Linked DNA regions of Notamacropus eugenii. The protein of the gene in region 1 interacts with the protein of each later gene in a pairwise test. Links are inferred from orthologs where the notes say so. Each region holds a gene or a part of one and is shown in the gene's direction. Other genes may lie near its edges.

Region 1 (7,330 bases):
TATATACATAAAGACACAAAAGCATGTGAACACAGGCACAGTTCTTTGCCTTCACGCATAGTTTGTATATAACATGAAAAATCGTATATCTTTATTATGTTACAATTATTTGTTTCCTCTATCTTTCCTAACAAACAACCCTCCTACAAGGCCCTAGTTACCTAGAGGGCAGACTCTCTGCTTTACTTATCTATAGCACTCTGATTATCTTATAGGTGCTTTATGAACGTTAGCAGTTTGCCATCACCCCATTAGGAGATTGAGTGAAATATTTTCCACTTAGAAATCAACATTAAAACTTACATATGTAAATCTGGATAACCCAACTGAACATATCAGTCAAATCCTATACACCAATTAAGTTTCCGGAAAGGGTCAGGGATTCTTGTTTGAGACCTTGACCACTGTCACTAAATCTACAAACTTCCTTGCATGTAGTAGGTCCTCAATAATTATTGTTTTTTGTGATTGAATAAAATACTTCACTGCGTTTTCTGAGGCATTGTAGGAAGCTACAAATTAAATAGAAGACACAGTTCCTTGCCTTTTCAAGAGCTTATGGCTTAAGGGCCAAGACTGGGATAAACTCAAATATAAAGACTAGGGAAAATCTAGATTGTCTATGACTTCCACCTCTAAATGGTTGTCTGAATCTTGGTAAATAAATTTAACCTTTCTGATTCTCAATTTTCTTGTTTACAAAACTGACTTAATCAGTCTGTCATTTAACTGAGAGCTATTCTGGGGACTTGATAAAACATTTTAAGAGAACTAGGTTGGAAATGGATAAAATGAATTATTAAAATGCAAATTCTAAAGATAAGGAAAGGAAAGCCTACATGTACTCAAGTAGAATTTTAAACAGATTTTCATGGTGCTTATGAAGGAGTATTGGAACAAACAGAACTAGGAAAAGCTTACATTTATTCTTCTCTATGTTAGTCAATTCATTGCCTGCACAGGATTAATTTTCATAGTTACATTGAGAAAATATTGGGAATTGTAGGAAATATTGGAATTGGACTCTTGATAGAACCAGATTTACATACACATCCCAGTGTCCTGTGAGCGGAAATGAAGAAAGTCGCCATTCAAAGAAGAAGTGGAAGTTATGAGAGCATTCTAATGTAGAGAAAATAAGGAGCTCTAAATGTAAACATTCAGAAGGGTCCTCAAAATGAAATTTGTTCATAGAGCATGACTTCTTCTGAAAAATTGCCATGCCTACTTATATCACAGAGTGTTTGTTTTGGTTTTTAACTATATTCTGAATTTTGTGGATGACAAACTTACTAGTATATATTTTGGACAATAACTCTTACAGTCATTCATGTTTTGTTACAGGTAGGGATGCAGGTATTGGGGGTTAGAGGAGAAGGACTAGACATCTCCAAGAGGAAACATATTCCTCCTTTTAATACTCAATCTCATGGCAATTTTTGACACTTCTCAACATGATCACTGAGGCAGAACACTTTTTGCTATTCAAGATTCTTATATATCTCCTATGATGTTACATTCTACTTAACTCCTTGATGAATATTTTTTTAATTTTTTTTTATTTTTTAATGTTTAACAATCACTGCCATACAATTGAGATTTTATCCCCCCCACACCTACCCCCCCACTACCCCCCTCCCTCCCCATGACTGCATATAATTCTGTATAGGTTCTACATATACTTTCCTATTGAGTATATTTTCACTATAGTCATGCTATGTAGTCAGACTAAAATAAATGTAAGAAATCATATAACAAATCAAAACATGATACACAAAAACATACACATACACAAACATGATCTGCTACATTTTGCGAATGACTTCCATATTTCTTTCTCTGAGTGTGGAAGGCATTTTGCCTTGAGAACCACCATTGGGATTTTTTTTTTTTTAAGAAGTTCTTGCGTTATTACGAAATTTCAAGTCTACCAGAAAAAACTCTCACACACTGTGGTCGTTGCTGTGCACAAAGTTCTCCTGGTTTTGCTCCTTTCACTCAGCATCAGGTCATATAAGTCCTTCCAGGCCTCTCTGAAGTCTTCTTGTTCATCATTTCTTATGGCACAATAGTACTCCATTACATTCATATACCATAATTTATTCAGCCATTCCCCAATTGATGGACATCCCCTTGACTTCCAGTTTTTGGCAACTACAAAGAGTGCTACTATAAATATTTTTGTACATGTGGGACCCTTTCCCATTTTTATGATCTCTTGGGGATCTTGATGAATATTTTGGACTGAAGTTAAAAACAATTTAAAGGCCAGTCTTAAATAATAACAAAAAAGCAGTCTCTCTCTCTCTCTTCCCCACCCCCCCAAACATACGTGTGTGTGTGTGTGTGTGTGTGTGTGTGTGTGTGTGTGTGTGATATCTAGCACTGGATCCAGATGGCTCAGGAGGAGAAGTGACCTTGCACAGTCCTCCCTCACTCAAAACTAAGCCAAGTTCAAGTCATGTCATCATTTCTCTAATGTCATGGTCTTCGAAAATGAAGGACGAACACAACCTTCAAGTGGACTGAGCTGCCTGAGTGGAGAGCCACCTAGCTGGGTAACTCAGCTTATCCTCTTCTTTCTCCCTCTCCCCTTCCTTCTTCTCTCCAAAGGAAGGTAAATTTGGATGGCCATAGACTGTCCAGTTAACTTGAGGTTTACTGATTACATGTCTTTCTTCCTTCCTACCTTCCTTCCTTCCCCTCTCTCTCTCTCCTCTCTCTTTTTCTTTCTGTTCAATAGGTCCCTGCCCAAGCTCCACTACATAGCTGGCTTAGAGTGATTATCAACAGTACCAATTTCTTTTTTCCTCCTAACTTGACTGTTCTGTTTTCTTTTGCTCATTAAAGGGGCCATTCCCTGACTACTTTCTGAAAGAGGCCTATTCACTGAATGGGCATTACCTCCCTCCAGGTGAGTACCTGAAAAGGCAAAAGACCAAGGTCTCCCATTGAATCCTAGGCCATCTCCACTCATCCTGAGGACTATCTGGTCACTGGATCCAGATGGCTCTGGAGGAGAAGTGAGGCTGGTGACCTGCCCTCCCTCACTCAAAACAAAGTCAATTTCAAGTCATGTCAATTTCTCTGACAGCATGGTCTTCTTTGAAAAGAAAGGATGAACACAACAACACATCTCTCTTAACAGGGAAGCATTTGAGATAATTGGAAGGTAGGCCAGGGGCCAACACAATCTTAAAACAAGCACTTCTTTTATTTTTCTGTATATTTGAAAATTTAACATCCTTTTAAAAAAATTTTGAGTTTTAAATTCTATCCCTCTTGCCCTTCCCCCACAAGCAATATCAATTATATATACTTGTGAAGTCATGCAAAACATATTTCCACATTAGCCACCTTAAAAAAAAAGCAGGAAAAATAAAGTGAAAAAATAAATTAAAAAAAGAAAAAACACGCTTCACTGGGCAGTCAGAATTCTTCAGTTCTCTCTGTAGGCGTATCACACTTTTCATCTTGAGTCTTTTGGAAGTGTCTTGGCTCGTTGACTTGATTTGAATACCTATAAATAATCCAGGCAGGTAATTGGGAAAGGGGCTAGTATAGGAAGACAGAAGGGCTCCACAACAAAAAGTATGAGAACTTCCTTTTACAAAATTATTTTAAAGCAATTTTGACGCTACGATGTGCCCCTGTCCATGGGCACGCAGAAGAAAGCCTGACTTCCTTCGACAAGGAGCAGGAAGACCTTTCCAGGGGGCGGCTCCTCCTCAAAAAGTCTAGCACCGTTCACTGAACTCAAACCGGATCGCTGTGTGCCCCAAAGCCAAGGGGTCACCGCGCCCGGCGCAGCGCTAATTCCGTATCCTTTCTAACACAGGACGTTTTTCTGAAGATGGAGCGGAAAAAAACACGGAGGAAAAAAGAAAACCGCGGACCTGAGGAAAGTACGCATGCAGGGCGGAAGCACACCTAAGCCAGAGAAGTCTGAAGCTGTCAGGACTGTGAAAATGGGAGAGGGTTCTGAAGGAGAGGAAGGATGCCCAGAGAGGCAGGAAATCGTGCTGGAGGAAGCTCCACCCTCTCCTAGCGTGCGGGGGAGGGGCAGGCGCTTGTCTCGCGTTCGCGCAAGCGCGCACGCAGGCGCACGCGTACCTGGCTGGGCTGGCCTCGCGTCGCGCCGCTGAGTTCGGGCTGCGCGTGCGCGAGCGAACCTGTGCTTGGGGAGGGGGGCTCGTCATCGTGATCGCCGCCTCGGTCCGCTCCTGTGCGGTTCCCAGTCCCGCGCCCTCACACTCCCCCATCGGAAGCGAAGCTCGGGGGGAAGGCCCGGCTGGTGGTCCCGGCATTTGTTCCCAGTCGTAGCCCGGACGGCCATGTCGGCCGGGGAGGTGGAGCGGCTGGTGTCGGAGCTGAGCGGCGGGACCGGTGGGGATGAGGAGGAAGAGTGGCTCTATGGCGGTACGCAACTCGGGGTCGCTCCTTTTCCCCTCCCCCCCCTCCGCCGGTTTGCTCCAGGCCTCTTCTTTCCGCGTCCCGCGGTAGCGGGGGGCGGCGGGCGTGCTTGCGCCTCGGACCCCGGGCCTTGGGCCTCCCTGCCCCGGCCGGGACGCTAGGCCCGAGCGCCGCGCGCGTAAACCCTTCGGGAGCTCCTCCTTCTGCACCCGCAACCCGCGCCTCCCCGGGGCCCCGGCTCCTAGCTCCGGACCCGGCCGCGGCCTGCCCGCCCCCTGGGGTGCGAGCCCCTGAGCGCCGCGGCCGCCGGAGCTGGGCTCCGGGCCCCTTCGGGCCGTGTTCTCCCCGGCCGTGGTGATGCTAGAAAGTCCACCAGAAATAAAACAAGTGGCGGCAAGCCGGGGGACTTGTTGGCACGTCCGTCGCAGACGGACCAGGTGGCTCAGGGCCCGCGAAGAGCCCGACTTGCTTGTTGTTGGTCTTTTTCCATTAGCCCTGGATGTAGCCAGACAACCTGAGCGCATCACCCGAGGAACTCACGAGCCCCACGCGCGGAGTTACAAGCTACTCAATAAGTGTTTGTGGGGTGCGTGGGCTTGGCCTCCCGCCTCCTACTGACGTGTCCTCCAGACACCTCAGCTTATCCCTTAGTTTACGTTTCCTGTAGTCACGTTTCGCCTGCTGATTTTCTGAGAGTCTAACCTTGTCTTGGATGCTGTTGGCCTGGATCAGGCAGACGGATGTTTGACATGTCCGAGTGACTTCCGGACACGGTCACGGCCTTGGAATTGCATAGTTAATAAGATGATACCAGGCTGTACCAAGCATCCATTTAATGAGACCAAAATTAGACTGTGTGCCAGGAACAATATCAATAGCATTAAATAAATTTTAAATGAGATTTTGAGACTCCAACGCCTGAGAAACTTAACTTAAAATATAAAAATAAGGTCAAATTTTCTATTTTTGAAAAATCTAAAAGCCGCAGATTTTTAGATATTTGTAAAAAAGAAACAGCTGTCTGTGACATACAGGGTGAATTTTGAAAGATTGGGTTAGTATTTGTGCTTCCAGTTTTAAAGATTCGTTGACAATTCATTTATGTTTTTTTCTTGACAGATGAAAATGAAGTTGAAAGGCCAGAAGAAGAAAATGCCAGGTTAGTGAAATTCCCGATTGATAGCGGTACTGATTATGTAGTGGTGCCAGTCTTACCATTGTTTATAGTTAGGAATTTGGACTTTATATGTGATGATCAAGGTTAAGCTGAAATCTGTAGTTGATTAAGGTTTTAAGGACCTGCTTCTAAAATAGAGAGAAGAATTTTCTAGTTTCTGTCAGGTGCTTGGGGATAGAGACTGAACCTATGATTTCGTGGATATTGAGAACTTTTGTGTGAGGAAACCCCTTCTGCCAACACAAGCTCCTATCTTCTCTGCAACCTGTAGTCTTAGAGTTTCCTAGAGTAATGAGAGATTAAATGAGCTCCGAAGTCACACAACCAGTATGTTTTAAGTTACCTTCACTGCTCGGTCAGCTTATGTGCCTTGTGCCATGCTGCTTCTGATGCTAAAAACTTAGGACATGGTATTTTTGTTATTTTCACATTTTTTTTGTTTTTCTTTTTTACTATTTACTACCTTACAGTGATTCAGTAAAACTATGTGCCAAATGGGGAATTTTCTGAGTTTATACATTCCTTAGGCTTTTCTAAAGTTCTAACTAGTATAGTAATAATACAGTGGCCAGGAAAATTACCCCTTCCCAATTTGTTTAAATGGCTTAATGCTTTATTAGTAGAGTATATGTTTGTTTGATGTGCTTGGGTGAATGTGTGGCTACCTTTTATTGAATTAATATACAAGAAATCTCCAGTCTATAAAAATTCAGTTTACCATCATCCTATATAAACAAATTGCCATCTATATGCTGCCCTGCCTCTTCTCCACTAAGTCCATAGATCAGTGTGAAAGAATTTCAGCTTATAGAGAATTTCTGGATACAGAAGAGACAGACCACTGAGAAGATTTAGGAGACTGGTTCATGTAATGCCTTTACTACTTAAACGCCTTCCTAGACTGCCATGTTAAAACTTTATAGTAGAAAGAGCAAGATATCCGAGTTGGAAGACCTTGGTTGAAAAGTGTCCTACACTTGTAGTTCTGTTACCTTGGGCAAGACATTTAACCTTCCTGAAGCTTTGGTTTCCTTTTCTGTAGAATGAAGGTATTTATACTTGTTCTTCCAACTTTACAGAGATTTTTTTGGAAAAAGTACTTATAAACCAAAAATCACTACATAAAAGTGGACTCCTTAATATTTTTTAATATCAAAGTTTGCCTACATTTTGAGTTAAGTAGATTTTTGGGAGCAAAATTTGGAATCTTATTAGTTTTCAATTTCTATGGGAAAATGTATTCCAGCTTTTTTTATAAGCTTATAAAAGGCAACCCATTCTTAAGTTAAAGACTACCCATATCAGTTCTGATTAATCTAGACTAAATTGTTTTCAATCTTTGCTTATTATTGCAGTAATCATATTTTGAGAAAGGACTCCTGAGGTACAGTCCTTTGTTAACATTAGATTAGTGCTGCTAAGTTTGTAAACCTAATTATACTATTTGATAAAGGTGATCATTGTTCATTCATGAACCTGAAAGACTGAAATTCTTAGTTTTGATTTAGTCATCTGAATCCTTAAAATTACAATCAGCAACAGTAACTTAATAAGTTTTATGAAATTAATTTAATAATTTAAAAAAAATTAGTACCATCTAAGTACTACTAGTGAATTTCATTTTGCGTTTTTGACTAAATTTTGAAAATTCACCTTTAATGATTAATGGCTCATTATGATTGGTAGTGATGGACTTAACATACCATTTTATGTTCCCATTCTAATGCATTTCTTAAGCAA
Region 2 (8,146 bases), on another chromosome or scaffold:
TGTCAGAGTACAAAGAATGAACAGAATTTTGGAGCTCAACACATGCAAGTTTGATTTTTCTACCATTATCTATGTGTTGTTGGAATAAAAGGGAAGTCAGTTTATTAAAAAGTCTTTTTATTTTTAATTCAGGATCATTTCAACATAATGGAACTAAAAAGGGTAGGAGGCATTCTGGGAAATCCTTACAATAACTAAAATGAAATTTCTACAGGTATTACCTAATGATTATTTTGGTGTCTAACTAATGACAGAAAGGAATATCCTCTTAAATTTCACACAGAAAAAGTCATAGGAAAGTTTTCAAAACCAAACTGACTAAATATGGCTTCCAGACTCAACATTTTTGCTCAGGAACACAGAGCTACAGACTGCTTGAGAACAAGAGGAATTTGCTTATCACCTAGGGAGGCCCTTGGAACAAAATTTCAAAAGCAAAAACTCAATTGATGCTGACAAGACTCCTTCATTTCACTGGAAAACAGAATAAGTGGCACATAGAACAGATGCCAAGGGCAGCAGAAATCCGACCCTCAGAGGGTCAGTGGTCTGAGATCTACCAAGCACATCTCACCCAAAGCACAGGGCACAGAATAGCCCAAGGTCTCCTGCTCCTCTTCTCACTGGTTGATTTTCTACCTGAGCAGGCATGTATCAGGTACTGCCCTTTGTACATGGGAACAATTTGGTGGCTCAATAGACTATGGGAGGAAAACCATTTGTGGAAGGAAAACTGATTTTCTTAAGATAGATTGAAAAAAAATTAGTCTTTCAAATAAAACACTTGAGAGATTCAGACTATTCTGAGTGAGCCAGCCAGCCAACTGCCTGCTCCTGACAGGAATGAAAGTAGTCTTAGCCAACTTGTTGGAAGACAGAGCAGGAAGTGAAATGGTGGTTCCCGCAGAGCACCATGTGCCACCTTCTATTTGATGAGGCTGCCTTTTGAATTTTAAAGGCTGTAATGACAAACACTAAATTAAACACTTCTTTGGGGACTAGGAGAAGACTGCATGGGGACTGCTAGGTCCATACAGTACAGGAAAGTGGTCTTGAATTTGACTCCTTTAGGTAAAGCCTGAGTCACTGACGACTACAAGTCTGGTGTGAGCCAGAAGGACACAAGATGCTGGAGAAGGAGCTATAAAAGAAACGAGAGGGCAGGAGAATCACAAGAAGCCAGGGACAGAAGCTACAGAACATTTATGGCAGAGACAGCCCACTTTCAGCTGCTTTTCTGGAACTTGCTTATTGGGAAAGAGACTTGGCTTTGCTGACTAGCTGGAGAAAGGCCGGGAGGCTGAAAGCCAGGAGCCAAATCCTGCTGCCTAAGGGAGCTGTCTGGGCTTGTTGCTCTCTGCTGCCATCTACTGCTGAGAGAGGGCAAAGGTGCCAGGCTTGTGTTGTCCTCTATTGGCTGTGTCTGTTCTGAGGGTGTGTGGGGTTTCTCCTTCGTTCCGAGAGAGGACCATGATTTCAGGGTGATAATGATATGATTCACAGTTGACTTTGATTTGAGGGAGGGAGGGCTGTGCAAGGTCACCAGCCTCACTATCTCCTCCAGAGGCATCTGGGTCCAGTAACCTGATATTTATCCATCAGGATGAGGGGAGATGGCCCAGGATGCAGTGGGAGACCCTGACCCTTTTAGGCTAAGGCCTTTTCAGGTTCTCATTTTGAGTGAGGCCACACCCATTCAATGAACAGGCCTTTTTAAGAAGTGAGTCAAGGGATCATCCCTTTAAGAAGAAGGGATGGGGAACTGGGAGGGGAAGACTGTCCGGGTTGCTGGACAAAAGAAAAACAGTTACTACTGACATTCCCTCTGAGCCAGGAGGGCCCAAAAAGAACCATTAAGTGGTGCTTGGGCAGGGACCTATTGTTGAGGAACAGAAGGATGGTGAGGTTTTGCATTTGTAAGCTATGATTTAATGTGAGAAGGCTGCCATTCGCAGGTCTGCTGAAGTTGGCAGCTGTTTGCCTTAAGGGAACTGCCTGTCACTGAAAGAACACAATACTGTCCCTCCTCAGCATCCTACTAAGGTTGCTCAGAGCAAAACAGGGTTGGCAGAGATACTGGAAGGGTCTGTCATATCCTTCTCCTACTCATTTTACAGATGAAGAAACTGAGGCAAACAGAGTTAAGGGACTTGCCCAGGGTCACCAGATTAGAACTCCGGCAGATGAGTCTGCCTGACTCCAGGTCCAGCTCTCTACGCACTATGGTGCCACCTGGTATTAAATGAGAATTGTCCTTAAGGTTCAATTGCATCTATTACCTAGTTCTAAACAATGTTTATCTGACCTTTGAAAAGAAAGGATCTTTTTGGTGACTCAGGGTCAACAATCAGCTCATTTGAAAATCCACCAGACAGAGAAACAGTAAGCAAGGTGGAGGACATGTATAAATCTGAAAACAGCCTTAATATTGCAATGAGAAGAAACAGAAGGTTTGTTTCTGCAGAACATTTGGGATGTTTCAGGATAGTTTATAATGCTCATGCCCAGTGACCATGGAATCCACACAGCCTCACTTTTGTGCTGAAAGCAAGCAGCTATTTGTACCATCTTGGCCACATGACTGGAAGGGAACAGAGGAAGCTACTCTGGGGCACTGTGCAGAATGCACATGTATCCTCTCACTGAGGAGCAGTTTGCCTTTGAATATGGAATCCTTGTGGCAGTTTGGAAAAAATTTGATGATACTTGAAAAATTGCAAGAACATTGTGCTTCAGCAGAAAGTGCTAGAATGTCCAATTCATGATGTGCCTGATTATGGCTGTGTTAAATCACTTCAGAAACAAACCTATGGGCAGGTAGTAGAGGAAAGACCTACTTGTAACCTAAGTGGGCAGCTCATTGCTTAAAGCACTATGAAAGACTCCCTAATGCAAACTCCTTGGATTATCACCACAAATGAAGACAAAGCCAATGATTCCGAGAACCACTGAACAGGAATCCTGACTAGAACCCTACCTCTGTCAATTTGTGAAGAGTATTTAAAAGCTGGAGAAGCAAAGAAAGAACTTGCACTCAGATCATGCCTTAAGGATGTGTATGGAGCCACTAGGTGGAACTACAGCAGATCAAGCACCAGGCCTGAAGTCAGGAAGGCTTCTCCTCTGAGTTCAAATCCAGCCTCAGACACTTACTAGCCTAATGACCTTAGGCAAGTCACTTCACCTGGTTTGTCTCAGTTTCTTCATCTGTAAAATGAGCTGGAGAAGGAAATGGAAAGTGGCTCTAGCATCTCTGCCAAGAAAACCCCAAATGGGATCATGAAGAGTCAGACTTAGTAAATCATTTAATACAGAACTTGTCATTAACCAATAGAAAAGTATCATGACTGGCCATTCATTTTTTATCATGTTATCATTATCATTACTTAAGCAGTTAGAAATTTTAAAAAATGCATTTACAATGTTCAAAGAGCTTGTGTAATTCTTCTAGAATTTTCTACCACATATTTGTGTGAACAAGCATTTTTTCACTTTATATCAAAATAGAGAAAAAAACTTGATGCAGTACCAGATTTAAGACTATTTGTCTGGTATTAAGCAAAATGTCGCAAACATCTACTCCAATAAAAAAATGCAACATCAAAATAGTTTATACGTGATTATGATATTATGCTAACATCTTCCCACTTATAAATTATTTCATTTAAATGTTTTATTTGACAAAATTTGCCAAACAAAATAATTTAATATGAAGTCTTACAGATAATAGTGAGCATATGAGATCTTAGATTATTTCTTTTCATTCTTACAGAATGTCCCACAAAAAAATCCATAACTATTTTAGTTAAGTTTTATAATTTTGTATTGTTTTCATAACTGTAGGTAGAATAAACTTTTTTGTGATTACCGTTACATAATGCAAATTTTAGTTTGTGTTTTGGGGGGCAAAAGCAATCAATATCGCTATTCTAAGCTCTTGATGAAGAAATGTAAATGTGCATTATGTGGTGTGGTATATTAAATTACCTTGCGGGTTCACCTCCTAGCTACGGAAGGAGTCTGGTTTCTTCCCGGCTCGTATAACCACATGAATGCAGTGTTCGCACACGCGCACACGCAGATCTAGGCTGGAAGGTACTTTACATGTTACCAAGACTGCTACAGTAGCGCTCGTGTAACCGCATGAATGCAGTGTTCGCACACGCACACACGCAGATCTAGGCTGGAAGGTACTTTACATGTTACCAAGATTGCTACAGTAGCGCTCGTATAACCGCATGAATGCAGTGTTCGCACACCCACACACGCAGATCTAGGTAGGAAGGTACTTTACACGTTACCAAGATTGCTACAGTAGCGCTCGTGTAACCGCATGAATGCAGTGTTCGCACACGCAGATCTAGGCTGGAAGATACTTTACATGTTACCGAGATTGCTACAGTAGCGCTCCGATTTTACAGGGGACTTACTGAGGGTACAGGGGGCGGGCCTCTGGGTGCCCGAGCGCCAGGCACTGAGCTGCCTTGGGGGTCTGTCTCTGGGTGTGTATATAAATGTGTGTACATACAGAGGCCCGATCCGCAGCTTTGGGGTCCCTCTTCGATCCTTGGCCCGCAGGCTGTCCCCACCCAGGGTCTCCTTTTACACCTGAGGAAACTGAGGCACGGAGCCTGGCAGCCCTGCCAAGGTCTACCTTGGGCGGGGAGGTAGAAGGGGGCTTTGGACTGCCTCGGTTTCCCTGCCTGTCATGCTAAGGGCACCCCTCCCCCCGGGCCGCTGCCTGCAGCAAGTAGCCCGGCACGCCCATCCCGAGTTAGAGAGGAAACAGACGCAGCCTCCACCTCCCCGGAAAGAGGCAAGAGGAAGAGCCGCCCCTCACACGCACGCACAGATCTCCCAGGAGGAGGAGCTACTCCCAGCCACCCCAGAGACCCGGAAGCGATGGAAGGATATGCGCACGCGCCCTAAGACTTTGAGTCATGTGGGTAACTCCTAGGCGCTGGGGGAATAGGGAGGGTGGGGTGAGGGAGTGGGTGGAGTCTCTCCGAGGCCCCGCCCCTGACCCGGTCGCGCTTGCGCAATTGCCCCTGACGCTCAGGCCGGCACCCGCCGAGGCCGGTCAGGCAGTTGCTTCCTTTTCAAAAACTCCTCGGTAAGATGGGGAGGGGACTGCGCGGGGCCACGCCTGAGCTACCTCAGTTTCCCCACCTGTGATGGGAGTGGGTCTGGAGAGAGGGCAGAAGAAGCTGGGGCGAGGCCGCTGGAGCTGCCTCAGTTTTCTCATTTGTCAAATGTGCAAGGGCGGGCCCCGTCCCTCCCCCGATGCCCCGCCCCAGGCCCTGATTCAGGTGACCCTGGGTACCTGGCAGCTGTGCCAGAAGGATGCCCCAGCAGTGACTGGTGGGCGCAGCAGCAGATGTGCCCTCCTCGGGGAGGAGCTCGTGCAGATGGGCTTTTTCCTCGCTCTGCGTTGTGGGAGGGGGGGATTCATTGGGGGTCGGGCTTGGGACAGAAGGATAGTTAACCATCGGTGCGTTCTCTCTTGTGACAATAGAAACCAAGGGAAGATGAAGCCAGAGGAGCAAGAGCCCGACCCCATGGCCCCTCCCCATGGCACTGCCCACGGGGAGGTGCAGGTAATGTGGGAGCTTGGGTGTCTGGGGCAGGGTGAGCAGGGAGGCCACCCTGGTGAGCTCTGAGACTTAGCCCACAGTGGTCGCATTGATGACTCTCCACATAGGCTGGAAAGGCAAGATGGCCCTTGGCCCCATGGCGCTGCCCCTGGGGAGGCGCAGGTAATGTGGGAGCTTGACCCTCCACATAGGCTGGAAAGGCCCCAAGCTGGTGCCCATGGGGCACCAGCTCTGTCAGGGCCTGCTATGCTGGAAAGGCTTTGCAGGCAGACTCCGTGAGGAAGTGGGCATTGGCCATAGAGGGGCTGGGGGAGGCCACACTGAAGACTGCCAGTGTCTTAGAAGTCTGTAGGCAGAGGCAGGCACAGAGTCAGACAGACCTACACAGTGGGAGCTCTTTGTGTTTACATATCACTTGTGGAAGATGTGCATGAGTACCCTCCTTGAAGCTTAAAGGTTACAGGAAAGCCCAGATTTACCCCCAGGCCCCCAAAATGATCAGTTGAGGAGGGGGAATTTTTGTTTGTTTTGCTTTACCAAAAATGCTTTCCAAGTTGTTTCCTCCTGGGAGAAAGCTTCCTTGCCTCCTGGGATAAGGGATTCCATTTGCAAAAACTAAACATAGTAGGACCCCATCTGATTCAGAGCTAACAATTCTGTGGTGCTTTGAAATTTACAAAGAGTCTTACGTACAAGGACTCAGTGACACACCATTATTATCCCCATTTCACAGATGAGGAAACTGAGAATGGTTAAGCATTTTCCTAAGGCCACGTGACCAGTGTCAGGAGGAAGGATTTGAGTTTCCTGACTCCCAGTCCAGCATTTGGCTGCAACACTGTGCTGGCATTTAGATGGCATCATGGCCTGCATTTCTGGGGCGGCTCATTTGGGACGAGAATAAGGATGTAGTCAGATCAACTTCAGCCAAGAAACAAGTCCAGGACAGTGCATCTTGAGAGGCCTCTCCCCCAATCTCATGGCTAGCTGGGCAGGCAGGCTGTTGGTATTTGGAAGACTGAGGCAGTAGGCAAGGCAAGGCTGCCTCCCAGAGGCCCTTGAACTGGGCTGGACAGGAAGGAGGTAGGAGAGAAGGCAAGGTCGCAGAGGGGGAGGAAACCTGAGAGCTGGGACGCATCTGTGCCCACCCACATTGGTGACCACGTCACATTGTGAGGGATGGTAGGAGTGGGAGCCTCCTTCAGAAGTCAGTCCCTGGGTAAGAAGATGGATTAAAGTTGATCAAGTCCCTGAAGATAGGCCCTCTGGCAGCCTCTTAGCTCAGAGTGGATCAGACCGTTTGGTCAGCTTACAGGGTTACAGCAAGTGGACTGTCCACATCCATTGCATCCTACCGAAGTTATGCTGGAGCAGACAACCCATTCACCAGTGGAGGTGAAACAGAGGCCTTGGGCTTCCTTGAGGCCAATGGAAGCCTGTTCTCAGCAAACCTAGTGCCTTAGTCCAGCCTGCTGTCATCTGAGGCCCCTGCAGGAGCCCCCCTCAGCCTGAAGGCTTTGCAGGGGAAGCAATCAGTCTGCCCCACAAGACAAATGAAGAGGCATGTCTGGAAATGGTGCCACCTGCTGCCAGTACTTGTTCATGAGCTGTGCTGAGGCAGGATGGGTCCCTGAGTGCCTGGCGCCTGTCACTTAAACACCACCTGGATGCTCGTGGCAAGATGGGGCAACAGTGACCATCGGTTGACTGTGGCCTTTATTGAGATACACAAGGGGATGAACTATTTGCCCAGGCATTCTATCCCAGCCCCCATCTTATTTCCTTGATTTTGTGCAGAAAGTGAGAGAAACCAAAGAACAGAATGACGCAGAGAACTCAGAGCCCGAAGAGCTTGTGGCTATCGCAGATTACGCAGCAACGAATGAAACACAGGTAAGAATGGGCAAGGCCAGGTGTGACATCAGCCCAGTGTTCTGTGTGTTCCTGAGGAGGTGGTGGGGATGCCCTGTGACAGGTCTGTGAGGGCTGGGGGGGACATCTGGTAGGACTGTGGGGGGTGCAGGAGAGAGGAGGGACCTGGAGCAGAGACAGGGAGGAGTTACCCTCAATTTCTTTTGAGCTTGAGCCAGAATGACTGTTTAGGGGCCCAGTCTGTAGATTCTAGGCTGTGAGCAGAAGCTAATCGTGATTTGATATAGAACAACACACAGACACACACATGTGTGTCCTGTTTGTCTGTCCCTGGTTCCCCCTCTGGAGGAGTCCTCTCTTTATTGGGTTAAGCTGGTCAGACATTGGCACTTCTTTCCAATACTGACCTGACCGACAAGCAGAACAGAATGCAAGCAGAACACAGTGGGGGGGGTTGGGGCAGAAGGGCCCCACAGGCCTCAGGAGGGAGGCCCAACTCTCTTAGAGGAATCAAGGCCTGGGACAGAGGACACACTCAGAGTCTTGAGGGGCCAGACTTGTTCCATTCTCCTCACCAGCTCTTGACCCTGACCAGCCACCTGGGCATTGCAGATGGGCAGCCCTGGTTGGGGATTGTCCAGCTGCCAGTGTTTCCCAGGTCAGTAGGAGCTGTCAGTCAA
Region 3 (7,481 bases), on another chromosome or scaffold:
AGTGAATGTTAAGAACCAAAAAATAAGTAAATTATATACATATATATTTAAAAAAAATCCAAGCTCATTAACCTCAGATTAAGAAACTCTGGTCTAGAATACAGAAATATTTTCTCTGGGGTAGGGAAGAAAAGAAGAGAAGAAGAAGAAAAGAAGAGAAAAAAAATCCCTAAGAGGTCTCCATTGCTACACCAATAACCATTCTGGGGTTCCCATCACCTGCTTCGCCCTCCACTGTCAGCAAATAAGATAAAAAGACAGATATCACAATGACTTTGTGCCAGCCCAATCCAGAAGGCCACCCTCCCTCTAATTCGATGTCCTACATGCACATCCCATGATGTGTGCTTACTTTGTCACCTGGATTAACACCAGGGAGATTTCCCTTAGTAGAGACTTTGCCCAAGCCTCATTTCTTCCTTTTTTAGAGCCCCCTACCTTTCTGGTTCTCAGCTGTCCTTGCCTGAGAGGAAGGCAGGGAAGGACAGTTTTTTGATGAGGGTCTTGTCGTTAAAAAACAGTTCTTGTTTTTTCCACATTGGGCTGCTCCATCTGTTGGGGCTGTAACATGTCCCCAATCCTTCTGCCTTTATATTTTCTTTTCCATCCCTCTCTCCCTACTTACCCTGTACAACATGGACACTTTGTCTCTTTTCACTGGTTCCCTCTCCTAATCTTTAAATGCCCATCTTTATACCTTACCACCCCTTCAACTCTCCTCTTCTTCTCTCATGGCTGAATTCAGCCTAAGGAGAAGCCCAGCAGCTGCTCTTCTGAGACTATGTGGTTATTCTAGGTTAGACAGACTAGAGCTTGTGAGGCAAAAGAAACCTCTGGGCTCCTGGTGGCTATGTTCCAGAGCCCTCTTTCTTTTTTTTTATTTTTTATTTTTAATGTTCTACAATCACTACCATAAAACTTAGATTTTTCCCCCCCTACCTACCTCCCACCACCCCGCTTCTGCCCCAAGAGAGCATACAATTCTATATAGGATCTACACATACATTCCTAGTGAATACATTTTCACTATAGTCATGCTATGTCGATCAAGTAAAATAAATGGAAGAAGTCATGTAACAAATCAAAACATAATACACACACACACAAATGATCTGCTATATTCTGCGAATGAATTCCACAGCTCTTTCTCTGAGTGTGGAAGGCATTTTGCCTTAGAAGACCATTAGGAATTTTTTTTTAAGTTCCTGCGTTGCTATGAAGTTCCAAGTCTACCAGAAAAAACTCTCACACACTGTGGTCGTTGCTGTGCACAAAGTTCTCCTGGTTGTGCTCCTTTCGCTCAGCATTAGACCGCATAAGTCCTTCCAGGCCTCAGAGCCCTCTTTCAAACAAATTTTGGTCAATGCACATTTACTGAGTGCCAACTACGTGCATGGCATTATGTCTTGAGCCTTATACTCAGTCTCTGCCTCTAGACAGCTCCCTCTAACTGGGGAGAGAAGACATAAATAAACTTAGAAAAAAGAGCTAAGAATTTGTCAAGTGCCAAATGAGGACTATGATAAGTGCAGGCCAGTTCAAATGGGAGAAGAAATCAGTGTGGGTTGAAGGAATCAGAGAAGGCTTCTCAGGAGCCCAGTTCTGATGACAGCTCCTAGAAACCTTCCCTCTTCTCGAACAATGGACTCAGCCTTCTTTGGGTCAGGGAGTTGTTGCTTCATTGGGAAACCCATGCACCCCTCCTCAGAAGAATGTTCCTAAATGCATAAAATACACAGGATTATGAAGGAAATCCATCATATTGAAGCACACATCAAAATATATGAAGAAAACCTCCAAAAACCAAGTTTATAGACCTTGTTATGGATGGAAATGATGTTTCTTTCCTTCGAACTGCCAGAATGATGGAGGGCAGTACTTAAGTACAGCTGAGGCAGCCAGACTGTGAAGTAGAGTCAGGAAGATGTGAATAAAGCCAGCCTCAGTACTAAGTGTGTGACCACGGGCGAGTCACTTAACCTCTGTCTGCCTCAGTTTCCTTAACTGTAAAACGGGGAAAATAACAGCACTTACCTCCCAGCGGCTTTGCTGTGAGATCACATGAGACATTATCTGCAAAATGCTCAGCACAGCACCTGGGACACTGTAGGCTCCATAGAGATGTTTATCCCCTGTGCCTGGCACCGTAGGGACTTAAATACTGGTAATATTACATTGGATTTGTGTACAAATCCCATCCCCCATACAAATAGTAAGCTTCCTGGGGGCAGAGACTGAGTCGTGTTTCTCCTTGTATCCCCTTCAGCGTCTAGTACAGGGCCTTATCCAAAACAGCTTTTCAGTTAAGTATATTGAATGAATGAATGAATGAATGAATGAATGAATGAATGAAGAGGTAAGACTTGAAGGACGAATGGGGGCTATAGGCTCTAAGAAGGCAGGGGCTATTTTATTTTGGTCTACCCAGGGCTGCCTGGGACACGGCCGATAAACCACAATGTTTGTTCAATTAAACTGAAGAAGGCAAAGGGGATGCCATCTGAGGATGGGGTCTTGCTGGTATGTTTAGGGTTCAGTGGGTAAAGAAGTCTGAGTGGAGGAGGAGATTCTTATAAGAGTTCTGAAAGTGATGTGTCAGTCAGATGTGGTTTTCATAGGAGTTAACCAAGAGCTAGGGGACTCACCTTGTCCTCCTTTATCAGCCTCTTGCACTGAAAGAAATACCAATGAGGGGTGTTCCGCCGCCCCTTCCAAGGCTGCTGCAGTACTTTATCTTCCTCATCCTCATATTCTTGAAGCCTTAAGTTGTGAAAGTCTGCCGTAGCTTTACGAAACACTTTTCTGGATGAATATTTGTCAGACAGAGTCCCAAAAGTCTCTTCCTCTTCATTTCCATTTGTGTCCGGCTGGGCTGGAGAACAAGATTCACTAAGCACTGCAGAGTTGTTGTTTACTTTTTTCTGGGGCCAGTCATTTGAGTTGAATTTGGGGAGGGAGGAACTGAATAGTCTCAGCATCCCACACTGAGGTTTCCATCTTGGGCATCGGAGCAGCTGGCATGAGCCCCTCTGAAACACCAGGCTCTTTCCTTGAGCTACCCATCTAGTTCCATTGGGGCCCACCCATGGATTAAGGTGTCTTAGGGCAAATGATCCTGCCAGGGAGGGGTTGGAGAACAGCTGTATGATTTTCATGTCTCCTCTTCCTGCTGTCTACTACCATGGATGTTTCACTGATCCAGTCTGGGTCCTGGAGTCAATTCAAATATTAAGGGGAAAAAAAGTAAGGAACTGCCAAACAGACTCATATAAGGTTTTTATATGAATTATTTTGGATAGCCTGCAGAGGAAAGAATGTTGATTTAGACACCAGATCTAAGTTAGACTCCTGGAAGTCACTATGCCACTTTGTAAAAGGTCGTCAAGCCACTTCTCTGAGACCCAGTTTTCTCATCTACAAAAAGGGATAAAACTTGCTTTATTCTAGAGGATGGCTGTGAGGAAAGCCTCTTACAAAGCATCACATAGATGTATCACCCCTCAGACTACCTGCAACTCCTTTTTTTGGGGGGGGGGGCAATCCCAGGCTCATTCTTTCCCGGGGTGGGAGGGGAGTAAGTCTCTAAGACCCCCCTCAGCCGGGCTGTTCTCCAACACGTGAAGGGCGCTGCTGGTGGCCCCCACCCCAGGGGTGAGAACGATGTGTACAGGCTTGGAACAATGTGGGGGGGAGGGGAGAGACCCTCAGGTCAGACTGGGGCCTGACGTCTTCAGGAATCCCAGCCCTCTCATTCTACAGACCCAGGGAAACGCTGTCCCGGCGCGGGCACTTGGGCCCGACCCCAAAGCTACCGTTCGGCCATTCAGATGGGGGTGGGGGCCAAGGCCGGACTTTCAGTCTGAGGCAGGCAGGGGCCCAGGCGGCTTCCACCACTGCCTGCTGCTGCCTGGCAAGTGGGTTCTTTCCGGGCCTCAGTTTCCCTGTCCGTGCAACGGGGAGCGAGAGCTAAGGCCCACCACTCCATCCCAGCTCATGCGACACTGGTCTGCACAGATGCTGGCGCTGGGGCTCAGGGGGTGGAAGGATATTTCCGGGTCGGTAAGCAAGTGATAGGGCGAGAGTCCCCCAAGCTTCGTCCCCGGCTGCACTCACCCTGCCGTCCCCGGTCCGCCTGCCCTGCGCGCGCGGTGCGCAGGCGCACAAGCGCCCCGGCAGCCCCCAAGGAAGCCTCACCGGGACGCGGTCCTCTCCGCCGCCGGCTCTCGGAAGGAAGCCCGGGAGAACGAGAGCGAGGGAACCGGCGCGACAGCGCACGTAAGAGCCCGCGAGCCTGCCCGCCCCCGCGATCGGCGCCTGATAGGTCCGCATCCGGCTCCTGAGCCACGCCTTCCTCCCCTCCGGCGTCCGATTGGCCACCGATGGTCCGGGGTCGGAGGTCGCGCTCCCGGCATCCCGCGGGGGGCGGGGCGGGCTGAGGCCAGAAGAGCGGCGGGGAGGCGGGCGGGCTGGCGCGCCGGCCTCCGGCCGAGGAGGAGTCCGCGGAGAGAGAGAGCGAGCACGGGCCGGTCCGGGCCGGGGTCCCGGGCTGTAGTGGAGGAGGAGGAGGAGGAGGAGGAAGAAGAGGACGATCCGGGTCCCGGGAGGGCCCGCGCCGGCCGCTACGATGCAGGAGCTCATCGCGAGCGTGGACCACATCAAGTTCGACCTGGAGATCGCGGTGGAGCAGCAGCTTGGGGCGCAGCCGCTGCCCTTCCCCGGCATGGACAGTGAGTGAGGCCGCCGGGCCGAGCCCTCCCCTCCGGCGGCTTCTCCTCGTGGGGAGTCCATGTCCCCATTCGACCGATGGGGCAATCGAGGCTCCGATGAAAACGGGTGGGATTCTCCCAGGGTCGCACAGCCAGGAAGTGCCTCCGAGCCGGGACTTGAACCCGGGTCTTCCGACCGCACACCTAGTGTCCTGATCTCGTAGAGCGTCTAGGAATGACCCCTGGGGCGTCCCCGTCCTCCGCGTAGACGCAGCCCAGCCGGCCGGCCCAGGCAGGCCCCTGCAGGTGGCCCTGGGCTCAGCCTACCCCCCCACTTCCTGTCCCTCTTCCTTTCCCCTCCCCCTCGAGCCCCCACTCTCCTTTCCCCTTCTTCCCCCTCCTCCACCGCCCCCTCGTCCCGATCGCGAGGCCCGGGAGTCCTTGGGCGGACTTGCCTCGGGGCAGCAAAGAGCGGAGCTCCCCTGCGGAGGTGCGCGCAGGGTTTGAAAGGTTGGCGCTTCGGAGAGAGGGCTTGCCCAGGTTGTGATTGGCCCTCGGGGCGGGACGAGCCGCCGGGAGGCTGTGTTTGTGTTCACGGGAAGCGTTAGCGTGAGTGTTGGCATCCCCATCCTACGGCCAGGAAATGGACGTGACTGCCAGCGGCAGGGCACGGCGTGCCAAGCGGCCTGCCTGGGGTGGAGGTGTCTGTTAGCAGGTGTTTCTGTGTTTAATGAAGGCTGTCCCGAATGCGGCGAAGGGAAGTCCTGCACTTCACCAGGAGCCTTCACAACCAATCTTAGTTCTAAGTGTCTTTGCCCCGTTGATGATTTCCTGTTCATCTCGGACGTAGTTACTTTGTATTTATTTGCATGCTGTCTGGCATCCTTTTGTCTCTTTGTATCCCCGGTGCGTGGCACTGCATAGCACGTAGTAAGCGGCTTGATGAAGGGTTAGTGATTGAATGATTCAGTTAAAAAAAATCGTCCCTATGGTCAGATCATGTCGGAGGTATTTTGTTCAGTTATGGCTGTCACATTTTAGGAAGGAGATAAACAAGTTGGAATTATTGGACCAGAAGAGGATGACCAGTGAGGACGGGGAAGAAACTCTAGTTGAAGGAACTGGGGTGTTTACTGTGGGGTAGAAAAGACTCTGAGCACAGATAGCTGGCTTCTGAGTATTTGAGGTCTTTCCATTTGGAAGAAAGATTCAGGATGAGGCACAGTGAGTTTGCAGGAGCTGCAGTGGCAGATTCAGCCTTTATAATGAAAAGCTTTGCGATAATTAATTAGAGGTGGCAAAAAGGGGAGTGGATTGAGCCAGGCCAGGAAGGAGGGAGTGACCTTTGACACCCCTTCCAACTCTGAAACACACCAAGTTTATGGTACTTTGAATTGGCGTTGTAGCTTTTGGGTTGGACTGCCCAATTGATGGAAGAGTTCTGGGCTGGGGAGCTTTTCCTGTTGCTGTATACAGCAAAGCAGAGAATTGAGGAACAGTGGGAAGTACTAAGTAGTGCATCTCCTGCTCAAGCAGGAAGATCTGTACTGTCTAACTCTTCTTCCCCAAACAAAACAGATGAACAAAAGAAGCTTCTTTACTCTTTCTCACCGCAAGAATAGTTCGTATAGCCATCCTTAACCCAGATAGAGTGATTCCTGCTCCAGAATCTTAACAGGACTCGTGATTTGTGCTGCTTACCAGCTGCCTGATGTTGTTGCTGTCTTTATAGCTGTCTGGAACAAATCTCTTCCTATCTAGACTATGAAATTCTTTAGGATAGGGACCAGGTCATACGTCCCCCCATCCTCACACACTGTGTACAGTAAAGGACCCTCTGAACCATAAAAGGCTTCCTAAGTGTGTATTGCTTGTTCAGGAGCATCACTTAACACTTGGCTAAGATACATCACACTCCATACACCTAGATGATTTCTCAATTCCCAAGGGCAGAGCACTTTATCTTTTCTGTGAACCCTGTGAATTCTTCAGATGCCGTGCACCTAGGTCTAGGGTGGTGGGTGAGAAACTTTGTGAGGCTTAGAATACTAGTCATAATCTCAGATATAACCTTCAGTCTTTATGGAAGGTGGCAGCTTTAATCTTTAACTTTTGAATGTTAAATTTCTGGATCCCTTTTTTGTTGATAGTTAAAAAAGACCTCAAAGCAAACTGTCTGAACATCTAAGTCCTTCCTTTGAAAAGCTTCAGAATGTCTTTGGAATTGAAGTTCATTTCAAAAGGCCTTTGAAGTTTTGAAAGAGGAGCAGTTGAGGTTGTTAGGGAGACAGTGAACACAGGTTGCAGAGAGATAGATTTGAGCTCAGTATAAAGAAAAACTTCTTGATATTCAGAGCACTTCACTAATGAAAGGGACTGCACCTGGGCCGTCTTCGAAGGAAATGAGGGCTTTAGTTAGGCAGAGAAGTGAGAAGGCTGTGTGCATTTTTCACATGGGCAACCTCCTATAGAAAGTTAGAGGCATAGGCCATGGAATGTCCCACACAGGGACCAGCTGTAGCAGGCCAAGCTGAGTAGAATAGAGAGTGTGCAGAAGGGAGTAAAATGAAGTGTCTACACACATTTATCCAGTACCTGCTACGTCCTATTATCTGGGGATAGAGAGACAGAAGTAAACGTGCCATTCCCCCACCTCCCAGCATGTACATTTATACAAAGTACATGCAAAGTAAATCAAAAGTTTTTTTTTTCTTTTGAAAGCACTAAGTTCTGACGGGATCAAGAAAGGCATTGTGTAGAAGGTGGCATAAGCTG

Evidence for each region.
Region 2: the proteins of FIP1L1 (region 1) and PRMT2 interact in a two-hybrid assay, tested with the Homo sapiens proteins (2 studies listed by BioGRID and IntAct). The link is inferred for Notamacropus eugenii from reciprocal best matches to the Homo sapiens genes FIP1L1 and PRMT2.
Region 3: the proteins of FIP1L1 (region 1) and CPSF4 interact in binary tests that used the Homo sapiens proteins (3 or more experiments, as listed by UniProt). The two-hybrid records come from large-scale screens. The link is inferred for Notamacropus eugenii from reciprocal best matches to the Homo sapiens genes FIP1L1 and CPSF4.

What each region holds. Positions count from the first base shown.
Region 1 is NC_092877.1:104,814,391-104,821,720, forward strand, and holds the start of FIP1L1 (pre-mRNA 3'-end-processing factor FIP1), read left to right. Parts: upstream 1-4,041; 5' UTR 4,042-4,334; coding exon 4,335-4,419; intron 4,420-5,532; coding exon 5,533-5,572; intron 5,573-7,330.
Region 2 is NC_092873.1:68,196,364-68,204,509, forward strand, and holds the start of PRMT2 (protein arginine N-methyltransferase 2), read left to right. Parts: upstream 1-5,002; 5' UTR 5,003-5,113; intron 5,114-5,515; 5' UTR 5,516-5,528; coding exon 5,529-5,597; intron 5,598-7,391; coding exon 7,392-7,487; intron 7,488-8,146. UniProt on the Homo sapiens protein: Arginine methyltransferase that methylates the guanidino nitrogens of arginyl residues in proteins such as STAT3, FBL, histone H4. Acts as a coactivator (with NCOA2) of the androgen receptor (AR)-mediated transactivation.
Region 3 is NC_092874.1:379,805,703-379,813,183, reverse strand, and holds the start of CPSF4 (cleavage and polyadenylation specificity factor subunit 4), read left to right. Parts: upstream 1-4,434; 5' UTR 4,435-4,624; coding exon 4,625-4,727; intron 4,728-4,906; exon of another isoform or gene 4,907-5,012; intron 5,013-5,050; exon of another isoform or gene 5,051-5,216; intron 5,217-7,481. Other genes in the region: PTCD1 (pentatricopeptide repeat-containing protein 1, mitochondrial), read right to left, coding at 2,646-3,155. UniProt on the Homo sapiens protein: Component of the cleavage and polyadenylation specificity factor (CPSF) complex that play a key role in pre-mRNA 3'-end formation, recognizing the AAUAAA signal sequence and interacting with poly(A) polymerase and other factors to bring about cleavage and poly(A) addition.